Caenorhabditis elegans: one gene and its partners. The protein of the gene in region 2 interacts with the protein of the main gene of each other region in a pairwise test. Each region holds a gene or a part of one and is shown on either strand. Other genes may lie near its edges. The genes, in order: ceh-60, unc-62 and ceh-40.

What was found.
Region 1: the proteins of unc-62 (region 2) and ceh-60 interact in a two-hybrid assay, tested with the Caenorhabditis elegans proteins (2 studies listed by BioGRID, with this or other methods).
Region 3: the proteins of unc-62 (region 2) and ceh-40 interact in binary tests that used the Caenorhabditis elegans proteins (3 or more experiments, as listed by UniProt).

What each region holds. Positions count from the first base shown.
Region 1 is NC_003284.9:6,525,037-6,532,965, forward strand, and holds the start of ceh-60 (Homeobox protein ceh-60), read right to left. Parts: upstream 5,111-7,929; 5' UTR 5,050-5,110; coding exon 4,982-5,049; intron 4,370-4,981; coding exon 4,299-4,369; intron 4,100-4,298; coding exon 4,032-4,099; intron 3,518-4,031; coding exon 3,374-3,517; intron 3,236-3,373; coding exon 3,161-3,235; intron 2,619-3,160; coding exon 2,503-2,618; intron 2,022-2,502; coding exon 1,886-2,021; intron 1-1,885. UniProt on the Caenorhabditis elegans protein: Probable transcription regulator which binds to DNA, repressing genes involved in longevity and stress, while activating genes involved in reproduction, such as the vitellogenins.
Region 2 is NC_003283.11:4,494,898-4,502,424, reverse strand, and holds the start of unc-62 (Homeobox protein unc-62), read right to left. Parts: upstream 4,963-7,527; 5' UTR 4,959-4,962; coding exon 4,836-4,958; intron 3,096-4,835; exon of another isoform or gene 2,630-3,095; coding exon of another isoform or gene 2,618-2,629; intron 1,207-2,617; coding exon 1,025-1,206; intron 707-1,024; coding exon 556-706; intron 509-555; coding exon 401-508; intron 1-400. UniProt on the Caenorhabditis elegans protein: Acts redundantly with ceh-20 and ceh-40 to perform overlapping roles during embryogenesis.
Region 3 is NC_003284.9:12,316,355-12,324,255, forward strand, and holds ceh-40 (Homeobox protein ceh-40), read right to left. Parts: upstream 4,424-7,901; 5' UTR 4,347-4,423; coding exon 4,255-4,346; intron 3,586-4,254; coding exon 3,306-3,585; intron 3,263-3,305; coding exon 3,188-3,262; intron 3,143-3,187; coding exon 2,891-3,142; intron 2,413-2,890; coding exon 2,170-2,412; intron 1,934-2,169; coding exon 1,886-1,933; 3' UTR 1,772-1,885; downstream 1-1,771. Other genes in the region: xtr-2 (MX region of TRA-2 Related), read left to right, coding at 1-226, 274-376, 577-1,319; F17A2.13 (uncharacterized protein), read left to right, coding at 5,312-6,023, 6,168-6,424; srd-40 (Serpentine receptor class delta-40), read left to right, coding at 7,385-7,681. UniProt on the Caenorhabditis elegans protein: Plays a role in regulating gene expression in dopaminergic neurons, acting redundantly with homeobox protein ceh-20 in head neurons.

The DNA of each region.
Region 1 (7,929 bases), on a different chromosome or scaffold from region 2:
TTAAGATTTTTGGAAATAAAATCAAAATCAAAACTTAATGTTTGTTTCTATGGAGCAGTTCTATTTTTGCTGTGTCTAACTTCATTTAAAATCCGATTTCTTTGTCTAGTTCACTGAAAAATGATATCAACTTTAAAATCTTCCACCAAGCATCATACAACTTATCGAAAAGTCATTTAAAATTTGGAAAACATATTGAACACTGTCTATGAAGCTAAAACCAAAAATTCAAAAATTACCTTGTGTATCCATTACATATTTATTACATTGTAATCCACTTTTAAAAATACGATTCACTATTTTTTGCTGCCCACGTACTCACAATACACAATTTCCTTGAATTTTCACATGCAATTTTCCAATTAGACTTCAAGCTTCAAGCAACAGCTTGCAACAGAATAATATCTAAAGATGTTCAGGTGTTTGCATATAACTCTTACTATAACCCTACTAACTTCACTTCATCTCAAAAAAAATTCTGAATTTGTGGAAACAAGAATTTTTATATTTAACCCGAAAGCTTAGTTTTCTTCTTGCTTCGCATGTTCATTTTTTCCAAAAAAAGAACAATGCATATAATTGAAGGTCGCAAAGTTTTGTTCAATGACACCTGTTCGCAAATGATATAATTTTTTTTGTTTTTATGATTGACTATTAATAGTTTTAGAGTTTTGAAAAAAAAATCGCAATTTCTGTGAATATCAAAAAGTCATATCTATTAAGAATAATATAAAGGCTTTTATGCAAACTCTATGTTAGTCTCAACGACATTCATATATTTTTCTAGGTCAAAATTGTCTTTATTATCTGGGTTAAATTCCAAAATTTCAATTTTGTTGTAACTCAAAAAACTTTTGAAATGTTTTCATGAGACTTTTATCTATATTTCCATAAATCAATCTGTCTGAAAAATCTTTATGGACGGTTGTGTACTGTTTTATTTAGTTTCAATCTTCGATTTTTCAAGCTACTATTTAACCCTGTATTGCACACTGTTAGCCGTATACTTATATATTCATTTGTTGATACATTCTAAGTAGATAGGTACATTTTAAGTAAAATAGACACCTAAAAATTACCGAAATTAAGTGCCTAGCAACTCAAAAGGTAAGTAATAAACTGTCAATATATGCAATGAAAAGTGATAGTTCAATTTTTTTCTTGTGGTTTTCATCCGATGTGACATAGACGAGTTGGAGAAATTAGGCATTTTAGCGAAATGTGACTCTTTTCGTGAAATTTCAAACGGCAATAACAAGTTTTGAAAGATTTGGATTTTTTGAGAATGTTCAAACATTACTAAATTTTTCTCTTCTAGACCTCTAGTAAATTAAAGGAGGATTAACGGATCGGACGATTTTAAACGTATTGGCCAAAAATGGGCTCAAATGAACAAATTCCGTAGAGAAACTGATCAAAAAATTTTAAAATTTTTTATGGCGGTTCAAAATGTCAAAAAAAAACACTGTTTTTAGCTAAAATCTCGAATTTTGCCCAGTTTTCTGTGTCGTATCTGTCCGTAGTTGATTTTTTAAAAACTATCATTTTTTGTTGCATATTTTGGTAGTTTATTTTATAATTGCGGCAAGTCGTCAAGCTCCAAATTGATAACTCCACTTTTGATAATTTCAATATGTTCTCTTTTTAGAGGTCTATTTTGCTGAATAGTCTAGTTTTAAGCCAATAATCATACACTAGTTTAAATAGTAAAGTCTTCATGTGTAGTCTGAATCAGTTCAGTATATTTTTTTCGAGGATATTCTATCTTTCGAGGTTTAAGACTTTAACGTCACCGACATAATTCAATTTAGTCTGATTCAGACATTGTTTTTTATAAAACAAAATTGAGCATCACACACCTTTCTAATCGTACAACTGATCTTACCTGTGAAATTTTGATATTACACTGTTTTGCTAATTCCGCCTTTTCCTGGTCGGACGGGTAAGGATTTTGACGATGATCGTGGAACCAGTTTTGCAAAATGTCCGTCGTGTTTTTGTCAAAGTTCCGGCGCTTGCGTCTGAAACAAAATCGGTTTCAGCAACAATTTGTATGATCCATGCGTTAAAGTTAGTTTCAAACGAAATCCGACAAAATGTGATCTGCGTTGTTTTGAATATGAATCCAAATCATGTGAAGAATTAAGTTTGTCTCAGTTTTCAAATTGTTTATTATTGTTACGAATTTCAGATGTTTAGTTCCTAAGCCGATGAACTTTTTCATTTCAGTGTTCATCTGTCTGGAATATCAACGAAGTTTATTAAAAAGCAACATGATTTGAGAACGTATTCCACATCATTTTTTTTTTGAATTTATGATTTTGTATGTTGAGTGTCTTGCAAAACCTAGACCTCACAAGGGACGGAACAAGTAGTCTCACGGAAGTTATTCTAATTTCGGATTAATGTCAACTAGCGTAATGTCTACTTGCAAATTAAAATGTTAGGTAATGAGATATGATAGTAATATATGTAATAATGGTGGAATATCCAAAAACTCACCCCTGCTGCTCGATCTCCCTCCGGAGAACTAGAATTTTAGTTGCTGCCTCCCCGCGAATGTTATTTTTCGAATGCTCGAACCTTTTGGAAATGCTTTGCCGAATGTTAGAGAAATCCTGAAACATTTTCAATAATCTTCGTGAATTTGGACCTAATGAAAACACATTGACTTTGTTAGCATTTAAAAAAGTTCATATTTTGTGTATTATATGTGACATTTGTACGGGTTTCTACATATTTATCATGGTTTGTGTTTGTTTTTTACGGGAAATTGTGAATATTGAATTTTGCACGTAAAATTATAATCCTAACTTAAAAAAAAACAAATTTATAATGAAAAAAATTTGATCTGATCTTGCGTTAAATCTCAACAAGTGATGATCTCGATCGTTTCAAAAATTGAAGAAAAACCAAAATGGATTAGTTTTCTTTTTTTTGGATTACAGTAGGATTCAGAAAAACTGACTTTTGTTCAGAAAAAGTCATTCAAAAGTGTAAAATTCACAAACAACAAATTAATAAGCTGGTTGTTTTCTATTCTTCTATTCGTTCGCCTGACTTTTCAACTTCAGTTTTGTGTTTTGTTATTTTTTTTTTGCTCTCTAATCTCAAATAATAATCTCGATATCTCTTCTACAAATTAATATAATTATTTTACCTTTTCGTCGATCGGTCTAAAATCGCGATGATTTCTGAGTACTTCTTCGCTATTAGTCAGGGCTTTTTCCATATCCTGAAATATTCTGAATTAAATTTGAAAAGTATTTACAAATCAAAAATCGGATTTAAAGCTTCTCACAAGCTTGAGTAAATGTCAAATTTTGTTACGCCTACCGCATCAGTTTGTTTTTTTGAAAATATGAAATATCACCTTGTCCAGTTGAATTTGTTTCATGATAGTGTCTTCTTTTATACGGTTAATTCCGTCCAAATATTTCCTTTCTAAGGGTTGCCATTCCTCGTCTTTCTCAGTGTTGACCTCTTCCAACGGAAATGTAGGATTTTCGAATTGAGCCTACAATTTTTGTTGCTTGTCTAATTTTTCAGTTCTAATGATTTGTTTTAAAAGAGTACAGCCAATGGGGTAATAATTTTAAACCAGTTTGTGGCGCTGAAATGACCGAATATCATACTAAATCTTCTCAAAAAAATTCTGATAATTTTTTATGTCGGGTCAAAAAGTGAGATTGCACCACTTATCGAGAAATTTGAAATAGTGTCGTTTTTTCAAACCCAAACAGTGTTGGAATATAAAAATTGCAAACACAATAGTTCATAGACCGTAGAACTGAAAGAAACTGGTGTTTAAATGAATGACAACTTCCAAAAAATTTGTGAAAACAGCGATTTCACGATTTTTTGACTTGAATTAAAAATTTGCCAAAATCGTTTGAATCTTTTACTATACTATATGGTTATTTTAGCTCCGTAGTATTAGTGTAAATCCTTTCAACATAGAATAAGCTTCATCTTTCAATTGAAAAATGTCACAAACTATTTCATGTAACTTTAAAAACTTATTCACTCACGAGAATTTCCTCAATTTCGGAGGATTGTTCATCTGTATCATACAACGCAACCAAGTTCATCCGAGAGCCTGAAATGTAAATGTGTTAATTTCTGATCCATTTCATACTTCCGTTTTTTTATTATTTTTGAAACTTCAATTTGTTTAAACTAGAGAGTCTTTTCGCTATATCATAGTCATAAACTTTTGATTCTGTAAAAGACCACCGGATGTGACCTTCACCTTTTCTAAATCTGCATAACTTTTTGATTTTTCATTCTTTGCTTACGTAAAATGTCTTTTCTTTCAAGTAGCACTTCGTGAAGCATCCGGCGACAGGGATTCATTTCGATGCATTTTCTGCAATTTTTTAATATAAGTTTTTACTATTTCAGCGGTAACAAAAAATAATGATCATCACTTCACTAATAGTTCTCTAGGGGTGTAAACTTAATCAGCATCTACTGTTATGATTCATATGTCACATCATTTGTAAGATGACTCGAACTGAAAACTGTCTCACCTATTCCCTGATGTTTTTCTAAAATTTTCTAGGAAGATGACCTGTTTAGATTCACCTCCCGACCCAGTTTATAAGAAATATAAAAATCGGTATCTGAATCAGGTTCTCTCATTTCTATAAATTTTCTTCAATCACAAACTACACTTCTTACGATGCCTAGACGAATCTCTGATCTGGATGTTTTGCAGATCATATGTATTAGTCATTTATATCACTTATGAAAACATTCAAACTATAGAATATCAAACAATCAAGATTTGCCTAAACCCAACTAAATTTTTCTTCTTTTTTGCTTTTTTTCTTAGAAGTTTATTCCTATCTAATACCGTTTAGATGTACATTTTTGAAAAATAGGTCATGCCAACATCTATTAAACAGTGTTCTTTTCATAGAGGTCAATTTATTTTTAAATCCTGTTTTGCTGCTCAAAAGTTTTTTTTTTAACTCACTCAATAAAATTCCTGTCGACGTTTTCACTTGAGACGCTCATTTGGAGCTGCTTAATAAGATTATCCATCTCTCAAAGATCGGTGTGATGCACTCGGTTGTGAACGCAACAACACAGAGCTGTGATGTGTCTAAATACAATTTTGAAAAATCACGAAAAAAAAAAACTAAAATAGGTGGTACGAATTCTGTCTAGGTTTTTTCTTTTCTATTCATCGGTGTAATTTGATAAAAACTGAGTTTAATTTCATCATTTTTTATAGATCATTACTAAGATATGAATTTGAAAAAAAAATCCTGTCAAGTTTACTTGTTAATATGCATAGAAATGTTTTATTTATTATTTTATGTTTTACTAAATGTTACAAAAAAATTTTATACATAAAATTAAAAAATCCAAAAATGTGTTCAATAAATGAAAATAACTGTACAGTAAGACTACCACTAGTAGCTCGTAGATTTGGGTTATTGATATTGTTAGAGCAAACATTATTATTGGATTACTGTCATTTGGGCCGCCTTTTCTGTCGCTCAAATTCATAAGGATAAATGTTGACTTATTACGTGACACCTCTTCCTTTTCCCTTTCTACACAAAAAGAAACCGAACCCAAATTTGTGTCATAGCAAACACTTCACTAATCTCATTAGATGATTTTAATTGTCATATATTACGAAATCAGGAAAAATTGGAAAATTTCAAAGAGAAAACGATATGGAAAGCGACGGAAAAAATAATTGAACAACCACGTTCAACTGATAAAAGAACGGTTCTAGTGGTTTTTTCTTCCATGCTCAAGTGCACCATGTACACTGATAACACCATTCCCCAAATGTTGCGATTTCTTTTCAATTACATGCCAATCACCGAAACTCAATTTAAGTATTGCATTTGGATAGTTTTTTTGTTGCATATCTACCTGATGTTTCAAAACTTGTGTATAAAAACTAGATAATACAATGAAAGTACAACAGCACACAAGGTACCCATGGGAATCCGAAATCGTAGTAGAACTTTGATTGTGTAGTAAAATGCCAAACCATTACACTTGTTCTTTCTCTTGGCTTATTACTCAACGGTAAATATCATCAAGGATTATGTTTTCACAACTGAAAAACATGCGAGCACATTTTTTATATTTTGTAATATATCATACACTTGCTCATGTTTTTATGACTATCAGTTAAATGGATCAGCTAGCTGAAGTGAGGATAATACCATTAGTTTTGCAAGGCCACTATTTGATCGTCTTGAACTTTACAGTAGTTAGTTATGACTCCATCAGATGCTTCACATAAAACAAACAATTATTTCTTCAATTTTACATTTGTGTTCAAAATATTCTTATTTTAACACTGTAAGTAGTTAAACAATAATTAACCCTTTTTTATCTCAAAAAAATTCAAAAGTATTTTGAGAAGTTTTATCAAGACATTTAGTCTTTTCAGCACTATAAAAATGGTTATTAATCTTTTTTTGCATGTTGTCAACTTTTAAAAGTCATACAACTTAAAACGGAACAACACTCGTTGTTATAAATTACTATGTCGCTAAAACAGAAATTTCCACTAATTACAGATGTTGTTGAGCTAGTATTCAGTTCAAATTGTTTTTATGAATTACTAATTATTGTTGTTATAATTCAGTTTAAAATAAAGGGAAAAATAAAAACGTTTGAACAATCAAAAAATAAATCAAGTGATTGCTCGAGAGAAATACACGCGAGAACTCGTTTTTTTTAGAATTTCAGAAGCTGAGAATTTTTGTTTGCAAAATTATTCTATCGTTTCGCGTATACAAGTCGTCTTATTACTATTTTTGTTTTTGGTTTTTTCGTACAGATTTGTACGTCTGTAAAAAATCAATTTTACACAAAAGCCCCCCCTAACGCGGCTCAAATTCTAAATCTAGGTAAAAAAATGTACACATAATTAAAAAAAATCCATATCGAATTCCATAAGACGTTCTTATCAAGAGTAGGGAACTTTTTTATAACTTACAACAATTTCAAGTAAACAAATTTTTAATTTCTTTTCGTAATTTTTGTTGGTCACATGCTACAGGACCACGCTCAGTGGTGCCCTGAAATGATGCAATTTTTTCACGTGCCAATAAAAATCTTGCTCAGAGTCAGAGCAAGAAAAACCAGCGGCAAAGAGATGATATCAATTGAGAACAAAATAGAGAAAAGTAAGAAAAATTAAGTGTTTTTTTTTTCAGTTAATATGTGTTCTGAAGTTTTTCCTTGTTTCACAGTCACTTGTTAGCTGTCTGGATATTCTCACGAGGTGTCGTTTGTTTTGTCTGACCACCTGTTTGGATACGATAGATAATCAAAAAGCATCACTTTATAACTTTTAAAAATCTTTGGTTTTTTTACTTTATTCAGACAAGTTTTGAACTTATCAAGTTAATTAAGTTAATTTTCGGTACTTTTCCGATTTCTGCCCCCCCAAAATGTTTCGATATTTTCATTAATGAAACGTGAACTTTTTTGTAATTTCAGGCTTAGTATTGTTTTTTCTAAGCCTAAAAATTTGAAATAGTATTAAAATAAACATTCACGTGTGAATTTAAATTGAAATATTGAGTAAAACATATTTTGGGGGGCAAAAATCGGAAAAGTACCTAATTTTCTTCCAAATTTTGAAGTGAAAACATTTTTTTTAACATATGTTGAATACTCAATCTAAAAAATAGGTTATTAACAACAGATAAAAAAGTTAACTTCCTTAAACTTTTCATCCTCGGGAGACTAAATATTTTATCACGAATGATCAGTTTTCTTCTTTCTGCTCTGTTTTGAAAAGTTTGCTGGTAATCTGAAAATGATATTTTTCCCAACTTCTGTCTTGAGCTCAACTTGAGAACGAAAAAGACCAACTTTGTTTTTAAGCCTGAAATAGAAATGTGGAAACACCGAGATAAAGTTGCTACCTACACCCGTTAT
Region 2 (7,527 bases):
CCTACTGACAGAATACTTACCAAATATTTTCCTACATTTTAATAGTTAAAAATTTTTTGATAAGACTAAAGCCAATTGAGACATAAGCCGTAAAAAAAGCGTGTAAAAAATAAATTGGAAGCCTAGGCCGTTACCAAAAGCCTGGAAAAATAAACCAAAAATCGTAGAAATGCACTTTTTTCAACTAGCTCTCTTCAACACACTGATACGGTGCCAGTCGGCGCCCCAAATTGGGAAAGTGCATTTCAGAACGCGGAGCTGATAACTGATAACTGTTCACACACACACAAAGCGGAGTCTCAACTTTTTGTCTAAAAAATAAATAAAGTACGAGACGCAGACGATTATTTTTTTGCATTACGTTTTTTTTGTTGAATTTCATTTCAATTTTCATGCTCACCTTTTCAAGCTCCAACAGATGGAATCGAAGCATCTGAATCGATTGGAGCATAATTTGATCTAGTTGTGGATTCGGTACATAGTACTGCTTGTCAGCATTCTCTTGGGTCTGTAAAACTTTCTTTTTTTTCATTTTATTATTTCCCCGAAACTTACATGTCTTACAAATTCGTTGAGATCATCTTTGAAAGACGCGCTGGAGCACACGTCCGATGACGTGGATCCGTCGCGTGACGTGTCTCGGGGCGTTGACGTGGCGAGCTCGCATTTTTCGAATAGGAGAACTAGAAGTGGATAGAGTGGATGGCTGAAAATTTGAAAATTGTTAAAAATCAATTTTTTTTAGCGATTTGAAAGTATTTTGAAAATGTAATAATTTTAACGAAATTTAGAAGCAGAAAATTTTGAAATTTTTTAATTTTTTTTACGTCAAAATTTTTTAGCTTCAGCTTCTCAGGCACGTCTCCAAACATGAGGACCTATGTTTTGCCTGCCTACCGCCTACTTTTGAATTTTTTTCACAAATTTTTGATGACTTGTTGAATGTTTAATTTTGAAAAAAAAACAGGCACAAGGCAGGCCTTGTAGGCAGACTTTATAAAATTAAAATTCAAAAAAAACTCACGCATAAATAGACTCCTTATCCCGTTTCATGGCTTCACCCATCTCATGGTGCATCATCGGAGTTGACGTCGGCGCGCCACCCATATTCGTGTACAAATTGTAAAACGCCGCCGGATCGGCAATATAACTGGCTGGGTCGGCGCTCGCCGAGCCCGGTGGTGGACCATATCCATCGTTGAACTGCTGAAAAAATATGGATAAGATTAGATAATTTTATTAAAAGGCGCCTAAATATGTGAGGGATTTATGGGTAAAATCTTATCTCTTCTTCTGACATGGCTAGCAAAAATTTTGCAAAAAAAAAATCAATAATTTTAGTTTTCCTCCAAAATCTTTTTTTTTTCGAAATTTCGGTACAAAGGGGCGCCGTTCCAGATTTCGGCAAGATGATAGGCGGATTTTTTGACGAAATAAATCTTCTCGGCCCCCCGATTCGGGTAAAAGAAGATGTGAACGGGGATAACGGTGGAAGGATAAAGTGAGAAATTGAAACCACGCTTTCCTATTTTTTTTTCTTTTTTCTTTTTTCTGTGTCTTGTCTCTCAAATTGATTAATTGATAAATTGTATTGATAACTAAAGAGGCCAATTTTTTGACACTTTTTGGAACCATTGGTGGTGGTGGTCATAGGCATTTTTTCTAAGCAGTAGCCCAAGCTCATCAAAATCATTTTAATGGGTTTTATTAGTCAGCGGGGAAGACGGGGAAAAGGGGTGGAATTTGGGACATTTTCTTATCTTTTTTCAAATGATTCCCGAGAAAAAGTGATACTGTCGGTAAGATCGTAAAACTATTTGTGATTCTTGTGTTGGCTTCGGAAACTAAAACTAAAACTAATCGATGCAAGGAAAAATTTAAGAATGAGGGGCTTAATATAAGTACTTATATTTTGAAATATTCACTGGTGTTATTTTAACGATTTGCAAAAGTCGATAGTATTCCACCTCACTACCTCACTTTGAAAAGTTATATCACGGTTCAATTAGAAGATATAAATAAATAGTCAACTACAAAATTATAGAAAAAGAAATAATACGGATTTTGCCAGTTGACAATTTTTATATAGGATGAACGAAAACTGAGATATAAGCTGTCAAAGTTGGACGATGGGGTGCAACTGTTAGTCTTGCAGACCGTAGCTTCAATTTGGCAGCTCATTGTAATTTTCAGTTAAAACAAAAAGTTCTAAGCTGACAAAATATTTGTTTTTTCTAGAACTATAGTTTTAAAGTATTATATTCACTGATTTTCTAGAGATGAGCAGAGATACGACTTTTCGAGGTATTTGGGGTCAAGTTTTTCTATATTCTGAAGCTTGGGAAACTATATTGTAACTAACCAGCGCTTAAAACAAGGCGAACACCTAAAAATTGCAATTTTGAGATCTAGAAAGCGGGAAAAAAGCGACAGCGACGGCGCGGTGGGGGGCGCAATGGCTGATTGGAAACCCAAGAATGAGCTCGAGCCACCACCCAACACAACGATAAATTATAGAGGAGAAAAGGAAAAAGGGATGGCGCTCTTTCTGGTATCATGTCAAAGTCAGAAGAAGCAGAGGGGAAACGGAATGAAGGAGAAGAAGAAGAAGAAGTACCCTCTGCGCCATCGTCGTTGCCGACACACGGGGCCTTGCTGAATAAGATGAACGATGGTCGTGTCGGGATCGAAAACTCTTTCCACAACGGGGTGTCAGTCAGTCAGTCTGTCACACACACGATGATGGTCAGAGCTTGTCGCCCGCCCCTTCTTCTTCTTCTCTCGTTGATCGATTGATTAGTGTGCCGATTTGATGGGCCGGCGGTGGCGGCGTGTGTTCTTCTCTGCCCTGCGTGTGATGTCGATGATGATGGAACGAACGTAAATAATATGACAGACAGATGAATATCGAAAATGACAACTTCTCACACACTTCAAAACGGTTGTATGTCAATCTTGTCCGATCGTTGGGGGGAGGGTTGGTGGGGTGAATGTGGGCGGGGCTCCCTCTCTCTGACTCTCCCTGGTGGGGGAAAAATACGAGAAACCACCGAAAGAGAGAGAAACGGGCAACCGGGGGGCAGATCGACTCGCTTGCCTTCTCCTCTCTCTCTCAGTCTATTTTCCCCTGTTAGCCCCCCTCGAGAGAAGGAGTGAGTGAGAGAGAGAGCGATGCGCCGGGGCCCCGCCCTATTGCGCCAATAGGCACTCAATTCGGTACAGTAGACCCCGGGTGTGAGAGGAGGGTGAGAAGGCAAATTTGGAGAGGAGTAGAAGAAGTCAAACACGAAGAAAACGACGACGACGACGACGACGAAAAAATACATGCATTGCATTTTCCTCTTTTTTTTGTTTTAGCGAGACGAGGCAAAAAGTCAAGTGTGGGGGACCTCAGGTTTTCCAGCTAACACAAATTTACATTTTCTACCAAGTAGTACCCGATTCTTGGCAGCCAAATTCCATGTCGCCTATCAATTTTCCAATTTTCCACCCTCGATAAGAAACACATGATTAATGTGATTAAAAGAGATAAATCGGTCGGTGGGGGGGGGGGGGGGGGGGGGGGGAGCGATGATGAGACGAAGAAGAATGAGGAGAGAAAAGATAAAAGCGGCGGACAATTTGTGTGAAAATTATCAGGATTTTGTTATTGCTTTTATGCTGTTGATATTGATAATCGGATCATCGGCTGTTAAATTGCATATTATATCGTGGATGTGTGGAACTAGCTCTATGAACTTTAACTGGTAGGTTGTAAACCCAAAAAATATGTTCTTAGATTTTTATGGTAGTTGTTGAAGGTGGAGTAGCGCCAATGGGGAAATTGTTAAAAACCACTCCTATGGTCCCAAAATGACCGAATATCGTAATAAAACATCATCAAACAAACACATCAAACAAAAACATCAAAACAATCAAAAATTTTCTTAAATTTTTTTATTTGCGGTCAAAAAGTGACAATTACTCAGTTTTTGTTACTCATAATTTTGGAAGTCGACCAAAAAAAGTTTTTTCCTACATTTTTTACACTTTAAGCTTATTTTAATTATTCGTGTTGAAACATTGTAGGGGGCGAAACATGCGACATTGCTTTGGATTTCCTCGAAAGCTCATATTTTTCAAAAATTTGGCAATTTGGCAAAAGTTTGAACGGAAATTATGAAAAAGCTAAAATTTTGTGGGGTGTTTTATTATAATATTCGGTCGTTTTGGATCATTATAAGTGTATTTAGACAAAATTCCCACTGGCGCTATTCCACCTTTAATATACTTTTTTCATAATAAATTCTGAATTTTTAGTGGATTTCCGAATTTGAAATTTGTTTTCCTATGTCAAATGAAAAAAAATCTGTTGAATTTAGCTCCTGTGGCGAGACCAACTCAGAAAAAAAAACAATGTGTGCCTTTAATGTGATGTTTCAAATTTTTGCGAAATATTACAATATTTTTTCCCGGTTTCTTGAAATTTATATTTCAATGAAAAACCAATTTCGAAACTCTAAAATTTTTACAATTTTGATTTTATAGATTTTATCAATTTTCTGAAAGCATTTTATCGTAACAGAACTGAAAAATTACAGTTCATTTTGAACATTTTTTTCATTTTTTTTTCCGAAATTCCAAAAGTTTTGAAGTTTCAGACAATACAAAACCCTTCAAAGCTCGATTTATAAAATTATTTTTAATTCTAAAAATTGATTTTTGAATTTCTTAAACTACAATGTGAAGATCCTAAAGAATTTTTTAATCGGCAAAAATTTTTTCAATTTTCAGAAATCAATTTAATTAGGAAATTTAGTCGCAAATTAAAACAACAACCAATTCTTAAATTTTACCTCATTGTGATCCCGCTTCTCTCGTTTGATGCTCGACGTGTCCAAATCGTACGTCGAAATTCCATTTTGAACAGCCCAAGTGTCAGCGGACGCGTGAGCCCACACTTTTGAGTCGCCGCTCATGTTCCTGCAAGAGAGAAATATTAAATTTTGAAAAAGAAAACGTGAAACTCATTATCATTTATCAAAAGAGTCTGTGCGTGAGCAACAGCAGATGGGTCCTCGTGGCCCGAAAGCACAAAAAGCACACCAAAAAAAAAGGGATGGATTCGAAAAAAAAAATAATAAATAGGCTCCGCAAGAGATGAACCAGGAGGGCAAATTCAAGTTTACATGCTGCTGTCCTGTGTCCAATGTCCTCCGCATTGAAGATAAATTGCTTTTGTTCGTTTTTGCCCCCACTAGGTGCACAAAGCTGTTCTCATTATATTTTTGAAATTCGAACAAAAAAAATGTAAGTGCTAAGGAAAAATAAAGTGGAAAGAATGAAGATTGGAACTAGTTTCTTTTTATTTGATAAGGTTTATGTAATGTACGGTATGAGACTGAAAAAAAAGTTTCATTATACCGCCAGTTTCACCGGAAGTTTTTTGTCATGTGAATGAGCATGAGCTGAGGAAATGTGACTAGTTTGGAAATTAAAAAAAAATCTAAAAGTGAGTTCGGTTTCTGAAAGAAATTTGCTCCACCGAAAATGTGAGAAACTATTTTGACGGCCTATATCTCTGTTGCTTTTGATTGGATCAAAAAATGTTTAACTGGTAAAATATAGAAAAACATTTTGCGCATATTTTGTCAGTTAAAATTTTTCTGATAAAATCAAAGAGAGCTGAGATAGAAGCTGTTAAAGTGGAGCAAGACGGGTGCAAGCCTACTAAGGAAATTGCGGACAATGTCCTAATTTTTCAAATTCATTATCAGGAATCAAAAAAGCTCTACCAAACCTAGTCAGCTATTTCCAAGTTTCCACAAAAAATTAATTAATTAAACAAGATCCTTCTGAAACTACACTTTCCAGATTGTCAACTAAATGTGCACCTATGAATGTAATAAAATATCGCAACCTTTCGCCTCTTCCAGAGAGCACAGTCATTTTTTGACACATTTTCCTTATCAATAATCAGAGAGTAGAGACATAGAGATGCTAACATTAAAATACAAAAGTTTCAACATTTTTTCCCTTCAATGCACCACATCCCCCGTTTCCCTCATCTACTTATACTCCAGCTGCACTTTATTAACGTCGCCTTTTGTTCTAAGGGGATTAAGATTAGGATCATATGGAAGAGGAGGGGTAGGAGGTGTCAAGTGGGATAAAGTTTCAGACTGTTTTTCTTTGTTTGGTAACATGGTAGACACGGGAAGAAGATTAACCTATAGATTTCAGATTTCCTGGAAGGTAGCGTGTGGTGCTTTTGTTGCTTGAATTGACAGAATTGAGTTGTTTCAAAAATTCTAGAGTAATAGGCTCAGCTCAAAAGATTAATCAAAGGCCTAAATTAAAGGCCAAAATTATGAGGCTAACAAATTTTTAAACCAATTTTTTACAAGCTTTCCATTTTCAATATAGCTACTGTTTCTATGCAAAAGAGCTACTGCTCTATCCGCCTTGCCTCTTTTTGCTCCACTTTGACGGCTTATAACTCGATCCCATTAGGGCTTGTAAAAAAAATTTTCAACTGACAAAATTTGTGCAAATATTTTTCTACATTTTTACAGTAAAACATTTTTTAATAAGACTAAGGACAACTTAGATATAAGTCTCTAAAATAGAGTGAATAAAAAAAAGCTAATTTAGAGGCTAACAAAATTTGATTCATTTGTACATAGTTTTGCCATTTTGTTTCCCAATCTGATCTACTTTTTCTTCTCCATAGTCATACTCAAAAACCTAGGCAGATCTTTGCTCAACGAGGCTGACGTATAAACTGATAAGCTTACGGTGTGCTCTTTGCTACGTGCGCCGAACATTATTCGAAAAAAAAAGTTATCAGTGGTTTTTTCTTCCACGCATCGTATCGCAATCGATGCTCTTGCTCCCCTGCTCTTCGCTTCTATTTCGATTCTCTCGCCTGGCTCCCCAAATACCGTACCAGGGGATGTGTATGCCTACTACAGTAACCCGTGTGTCCACCACCATCACAACCACCGACCAGCCGGCCCGGTGTTGGTGGGGGGGGGGGGGGGGACACGAAACAAAATTTGAAAAACGGGCGGCCCGCGCGCACGCTCTTTTTCCCTCTCCTTTTAAATCGATACGTTTCGTCGTCGGTGGTGGTGGTGGTGGTGGTAGTGAGGGACGGAGGCAAAAAAAGGAAGGAGAATTGCGTGGACTTGCACCGGACAAGTCATACAAATGATTGATGGGGTCTATAGAAACCCGTCGAAAAAATTGGAGGAGGAGTGGGCACCGGGGCAAAAATGCTAACGAAACACAACAAAAAAAAAGATTTCGATTGAATCGTTGTTGGTGTGCCCCCCAGCCAGGTGCACCGCCCCCTATTTTACCTCATTATGTCAAGTTGTAAACGAGACGCCGCTTAATTGGTTTATGAGATGTATCTGTCAATTTTAAGAGGAGGCCGGCCCATTTTATGTGTGTATGATTTTTAGGTCAAGCCGGCTGGAGCAAAAAGTGACTAGACTGGCCTCTAAGCCTTAGGGGGGATCGGGGAACCGACAGAGAGCAGTG
Region 3 (7,901 bases), on a different chromosome or scaffold from region 2:
CGGTCTACATTTTGGACCGATTGAAAACAGTGTTCCAATAGCCTCAAATAATCCTTCAAAGCGTTCAAAGCATGAGCCATTTAAATTCAACTTTCCACAAAAAATGATGGAGTACCAGAAGGACGTTCAAAATGGTTCATCAAACTATGAGTATTTCCACAGTCCTATGGCAAAGAACTACGCCAGTGCCAAAATTGGAGAGTCCAGCAGAGTTATTCGGAAAAGTGTAGGTTATTGAAAAGTTTGTTCTGTGAAAAATGGATAAGTTTTTAGCCGCGATTCTTGAGAGCTCAGCAGAAAGTGGAGGATGATGAGTGTAGCAGCGATGAATCATTGGATGATTCCGAAACAAGCGAAGAGGAAGATGTAGATAGTGGTAAGTTTGAATAAATAAGAAACAAGAGAGTAGATCAAATATTTTTTTTTTAATCGAGTTTATTAAGACTTTCCACCTCCCAGAAAGTTCGAAATATTTAGAGTTTTACTACAGTCATAAGATTAGGGGTTTTGGTGCACTGAGCAAAAGAATAGCGTTTTAAGGTTCAGAAGCCAATCAGATTTTTTCAATAATTGCAGATGGTGAATGCGATGAGGAGGTTCAAGCGGTTTTGGATAGTCTGGAGAAGAAGAAAATAACTGATGGAAATCCAATTGAAGTTGAGCAGCATAAAAAAATGGACAAACCTCAAACGGAAACAGTAGAAAATGATAATGGAAATGTGATAGACGTGACGGGTATGCCTTACACCGTACTACATGTTAAAGGAAGTGACACTGACCGTTTTGTGATGTATAAAGGAAGCCTGCAAAAAATCATTGCAGTCCAGACTGTTCGTCACGTTGATTACCAATACCAAATCTACATCATAAACAAGAACAAGCCAATAGATATTTTATTTGGAGAAGTGATTTTGTCGAGTACCTTAGGTCTTGGAGAAGATGAAGCAACAATGTCTCGTGATGCACAGTTTGTCAATTACGCCAGAAATATCGCTAGGAGAAATCATTTCTATGAAGATGGAGGGACTCTAACTGAATTTGATAATCGATTTTTGTTGGTTAAAAAATCAAGAGTATTAAACAATGATGACCGAACTTTCGTCAGAAATGTTCCACGGGACTACAAAACCGAACCTCCCATAATAGAAGAAGTTCTTGAGCTCACCCGAAACTGCCCAGAGAAGCATCCAAAAGCCCATTTGTACCCACCAGCGTTCAGTTACGCGATGATCGAATATTCCGAAGATCGTTTTTGGACCGAGCGAACAGTTGATGTTCCTCCCGGAGTTCTTGTGCCCAATGGACCACGTAGGCAGTAATCAAAATATCAAAGTATTCAGCAAAATGTGGAAATGTTTAAATAGGATCATATCAGACCAAATCAATTCCCTATACTTCGGATCATTTTCAATACCTCTCCACTTCATGGTTGTCATAGATTTTCATTTCACCATTTTGTTTCTAACCGCTAGATAATATAATTTTACATTAGTTTCCAATTTCAGCATGTTATTTTCGCAGTTCCACCAAAATTTCATACTACTACTTGTTATGGATATAACTGGCCTGAGTTCTTAAAAACTTAATTAATTTCAACTTTTTTTTCAATATCACCACTTTCTCAACATTTTTAAAAACGCTTCAGGAAAATCTCCTGTTCTGTGAATAGTTATGTTGTTCTTGTTACCTCATTTATATTGTAAGCCCTTGTCTAAAAATTGTGATGTTGCATTTTGCAGCCAAAAACATTGGTCAGTATCAAATAAATTTCTTAAAAAAGTAATACATCTTATGGAACACAGGATGTATTTCAATGAATTTATTACTTTATAACATCATGGCAAATGTATGAATGAGTACTCAGTACCAGCATTATTAAAGTTTGTCATCGAGTTTGATTTGGGTTTTGTAGAGACTGTTGATATTGGGCCATCTGAAAATGAGAAAACTGTTTTTTTCGGAATATGCATGATTTCAAAATCTGGCAGTAAGAAAAAACCTAGTTTCTCAACTTTTCCAGCTGCTCGCAACTTGGAGTACATCGTTTCCAGAATTTGATGTATCCAAGAACGAGTTTTTTTTCAAGTTTAACAAAAATCCGGGTTTTGAAACAAACTACATATATTGCTCTATTTTTGCAAGTTCACAGTATTTGAAATGAAAACTTACCATCTCAGGATTGTACATGGAAAAATTGAAAGGGGCAACACCGATGGGAAATTGATGACCAGGTAACATCATCTGATATGGGTTCATCATTCCTGCAAACGCGTTGGGTACCAGACTATACGGAGCTCCAGGAGCTCCAGGCGGAGGGCGATCTTCTGGTTTTCTGTTTTCTCTTCTTTCATCCTCATTCTTAGCCATTGTTTTCTTGTAGCGAATTCGCTTATTTCCAAACCAGTTTGATACCTGAAAATAAACTGTAAACTACTGTAAGATTGTATGCAGATATCTGGGACTAAATTTTTTCAAATAGAGTGATAGAGTGTTAAGAAACACTGACAATATTGACAGTGACAAAAATAGTTTTTAAAAAAGTTGCATAATTTTTAGGTTCGTGTCTATAGAACAGCGATTATTTTATGTAACCACAATTATATTCCAAAGAATAATGAACTAGTTTTGCGTTTCTTTTAGAAAACCTTACTTCCCATTTTCTAGAAACTACTAAAGCATTCGTTAATTCTGAACACCGTTTCAACATTTCCTATTCAAAACTCCCGCGCAAATATTAATAGGAGACAGCTGACGCAAATGGTGATGATGGCGCATTTTAGCGAGCTTTTAATTTAGGCCTTATCAATATTATCTTCATGCAAATCGTAATATTCTTCAAAAGTTTTTTATGCATATTTTTTAGTATGTAATTTTGTATTTTCAATTTTACCTGAGCAACACTAATGTTACATTGCATAGCTAAGGCCTGTTTGACCTCTTCCGACGGGTATGGATGATTGATGTTTGCTAGGAAGTACTCGTTGAGAATCTCGGTGGAAGTTTTCGAGAAATTTCTTCTCTTTCGACGAGCATCCAGATAACGCTTTTTCAGTTGGATAACTTCTTCGCAGGCAGTCTGTTTTAGTACAAAACAGACCTTGTTAAATTTACCGGACATCTTGTTCATAAACTTTTCGGTTGACTGAAAAATTGGTTTAATCTTTTCACCGGTAGATTTATGGCTTACCTGTTGGGTGATTGGACGGAATTCTCCTTGTTGCTGGAGAACATCTTCAACGTACTCACACCACTTTTTGCAGTGCTGAAATTTGTATATTGGTTGGTGATATATGAGACGATCTTACCTTGTCAAACGCTTTTGTCTCATTTTCAAGCTCTCGTCTCACTTTCAAAAGTTGTTGACGATACTCGTATTGGTCAGTTCCAGCAGCTTCCTGAATACGCAACAAACTATCATCGGGTCCAGCAACTCCTTCTGCTTTGAGCATGGTATCCAGCCGTTCATCATTCTCTTGTGCTTCAAGATCCTTCATCATCTTTGTCGATAGGTCGATTTTGGACTTCTGCTCAACTAGAACATCTTGTACGGCTCGGTAGAATGGATTGATCTTGATTTGTGGTTTTCTGAAAAATTCATAAATACTTTTGACAATTTTTTATTTTTTATTTTCAGGAGGAAGTGAATATCCTCTTTTCTTTTTTGTATCTTGATAGTAATCTCTAGTGTTGGTTTTCATCTTATCGCAACTTCTCCATAAATGTATAGTTACCAAAACAATATTATGATAAATACTGAAGTTGAAAGAAAAACATAAGCACTCCAGCGGAGAGTTTGCTTAAGAAAGTTTTTCCAAAAAATAGTTTTCAAGAAGTTTGTGATGATAGTTGAACTAGAGCAATGTTTTAAGGAGCGGTACTGTTCAAATAAAGAAATTAGAGACAGGCTATTGCCTACAAAAGCTGATCAAAAAAATTAAACATTTGATGTTTTACGAAACTTTGCTTAAAAGCATATCTTGTCATTATTTTTTCTTGAGTCGTAAACTAATCAAAGTATTTTAAGTATGAATGAACATTTGTTATCAACATCTATAAACATTGACCAAAATTTTGAAACTTATTAATAATTTTGATTTGAATACTTATATCATCAACACGCCCATGAAACAATATTGAGAATTTTTATTATAGGAATATCAGAAAAAACAAGCGCAAACCATCACATAACGATTGTTGATTTTTTTTTTTGAAAACTTCGATTTATGGCAGCACATAAGCAAAAATCTAACTCACAATTTATTGACAGCTTCATTATCCATAGTCATGTCGGTAATTTTGACAACTTCTGACAGCAGATCCATAATCGATTTTGACGCCTCACTCATGTCTACAATAAACCAGAATTAATGATAAATGACAGGAAACGTATTGGAGATAAAATGTTGATGAGACGGACACATTAGCGAGAGGTGGGGTAAAAACGTAACGTTGTCAAGAATAAAGACAAATTGTGGTTGACAGACAGTATCGGTGCACGCAACGCAAGTGGTTGTAAATGATGTGCGCAGTTTGGGCGAGTCAATCGAATACTTTTTTGTGTGCAAGCGTTCGTTGCGTAATGAGCGCAACTGTGCGGTGAGATGGGAAGGTCAGCCGATATTCAGTCACGATATGAGTTGCAACAGATGCCGTTTCCCACATATTGGATTATTCGCCCATTGTTCTCCTCTTTCTTGCTCTTAATGTTGCCTAATCGTTTTTTTTTGTGTTCTCAATCTTACAAGTTAATGCATTTTTTATTGTTTTTTTCTCAGAAGCAAAGTTGCGTTATATAGTAACCAAATTTGAATTATGCTTTTTTTCAATTAAATCTGAAGATAGTGGACAGTCACTTTTTTGAAGAAGCCTGTAGAAACAACAGAACAAAATTAAATGGTGCAATTTTTTCTGATTTCACTGTTAAGCTGCAGTTTTTAGTTATTAGTTTTGCAGTCAACAAAGATTATCTGCCAAACTTGGAAGGGTGTCAATGTTCCCATTGCTACATGTTGTTTTCCTCTGACGATTTATGGGTTGAAGAGTCGGGAAAGGAGTGGGATGAGAGTCTAATGTCGCGTTAGCAATATCGATCGATATAAATAAGTGTAAAAATATCTAATTCCTCGTTTTCTTCATTTTGTATTTGAACGAATGGTCTTCTGTTTACACTCTCAATTATTCTCCGTCTCGAAAACAACTGTTTGGACTTTTTTTTTTCAATCTTACTCTTTTGTTCCACATTTTTTTAACGTTCTCAATTTTTCAACTGGTTATACAATACCTATAATTTTTTTTAAATTTCAGTACAACAATGTCGTGTTGCAATGACTTCTCCTACTCCAACGCTGGAATCTATAGGCAAGCGATGGAGGATATCATGTTTACCCCGAACAAAGATAAAAAGAAGTCAGCCTTTCATGATGAAACTTTAAATAGCCTCCGAAAAGTGAGCAGATTGGTGCAGAAGTTTGAAAGTGGCGGAACTGACGATGAGACTGTTGATGAGACCGAAAAAGAAGAGCAAGGAGAAGATGTGTGCGATGGTCCTGTGTTCAGGAAGGAGTCTTTTCTGAAACAGAGCCAAAATGAAGAAGAAGAAGAAAAGGCAGATGTTCAAGAAAATTTTGACGAGCAGGAGAATGCTAAAAATGAAAACGACGAGGTGTTCTATGAAAACGAGAACGAAGCAAAGGAACTAGTCGAGACCCCCATTCTCCGATCTTTGTCCCGCCAATTTTCTGGCCTAACGATTATCAAGTCTCACATCAAAAAAGACAATCTCGATGTGGAGAGTAGATCTCCAGCTCGTCGTGAGACGAGAATCATGTCAAGAAGAAAACAAGAATCGTCAGTGTCGTCATGCTCATCGGAGAGCTCTCATTGCTCCGCTTCATCGTCTCTCAGTAAGACGGAAAAACCAGAACCTGAGAATAGCAACTTCGTAAACGAACTGTACTACTGCAAATTGGCGAGATCTCAAGTTCACCACAAGTTTGAAGCATACTTCAAGTGGAAATCAGAGAGTAAGCATTTCTAAATTTTGAACATAAATTTTATTAGAGAAACTGATGTTTAATGGCAAGCGGAACTGTTTATCAACATGCAAGCAAAATTTATATTTCGTTTAGAGCAGTGTCTAATTATCACTAATATTGTTTAATTTTCAGCACTCCGATCAATTGCGGCATCGGTTTCACAGATGCGCTTGGACACATTGAATTCGATCATTGCACCACACGATGAACGCGTAAATGTTCTCAAGACAATCTATGAAAATTGCAAGAAGGGAGTAAACAAAGAAATGGATGCACTGTGCTGTGCTCTTTTTGATCTTCTTGATGATGTCGATGAGAAGTCATTATCGATTCACGAGGAATACGTTGCTGCCAAGTACCATAAAAAGTTGCAAAGTCAAAACTGTTAGTGGATATTTTGACATAGTCTTTTTTAATCTTTAGCTATTCCACCGCCTACTTCTTGTCAAATTTCTGAAGTTTTAATGTCTACCTGAATCTCGTTGTTTCACATTGTTTTTTTGTTTTCCTTTTGATCCTTCAATATTTTCTTTTTTTTTTCGTTTTAAAACATGTTTTGAATTGCCAATTCATGGTAAAGTTTTAATAAACAATCATAGTCAGTAATTAAATTTGGATAGTATTTGTCAATAGTTAGTCAAACTTGTCATAAATGTGTGGACAAAATAAAAACAATAATGAATATATTATTGGGCATAATACAGAAAAAGGGATGAGCTGAATTCTATTATATATAGTGATCTATGTTGACTTTTGATATTAATTGCCTAACATCTAAAATCTTTGATATTTGATAAATTTCCACTGAACACTGAACCTACTTAAGGCTATTCACAACAACAAATTGAAAAAGCATTCAGACACAATTTAGGCACGTTTCGCGCAACAATTTAACCACAAAATGTTCATAAATCTAAATTCTCGAAATTGGTTCTGCAAAATTGAAAAAAAAAAAATTAAGTGCCTGATAATTTATTTTGAATATTAATCGTTTGAAATGATAATGTTCCGCGCTTTCCAGCGGACGAAAACCGGGTTTCTACTTATTTTTTAATTTCCATCTTTTTGTTGCTCAGGTTGTCGTAGTTGGTTGAAATTCCTGATTAAATGTTCAAATATTATTCTAAGATTTCACGTCATTATTGGAAATGCCACTTTTCAGAATTGGACAAAAAAACATATTTCTTCAAAAACATCTGCTACGAAACGCCCTGTTTTCATTTTGTAACCCGCTAAAAGCAACGTTTCCATTTTCTGATCTTATTTACTGAAATTCAATCAAACTGAATATCAACTTAACCTCGTGAACAATTTATATGCAGCGTTTCAAATCATATATAATTTTCAGAATGGGAGCGGATATTTATCGGGATGTGCTTTATATCTTCTACCCTATTTTCTTCATTTTTTCAACAATAACACAGTTGATGTTAATTTATTTAATTTTTTACCACTCCCCAACACATCTAAAAATGTTAAAAGTATTCTTGTTAAACACAAGTCTTTTCCAAATTATCCTAGTCGTTGTTTCTTGTTCATCTCAGTTTCGAATGATTACAACTGCTATTCCTATTGAACTGAGAAGTTACGGACTGTTAAGATATTTGGAAGCGTGGCTGGGTTATACAATGTATCAAGTTTTACAAGTGAGTTTTCTGAGTGTGAGTTTGGAAAAACATATTATACATCTTAAGCATTAAAATTTTGAAATGTTTGGAAAATAAAATCTTTTGAATACATTTTGAGTAAGTTAACTGCTATTGAAATATATATATATGTTTTTGTATTTTTAAAACAAAAAAACATAACTTAAACTAGTGTATTAAAAAAATTGTCAATATTATCAGTTACCTAGATTACAATGTA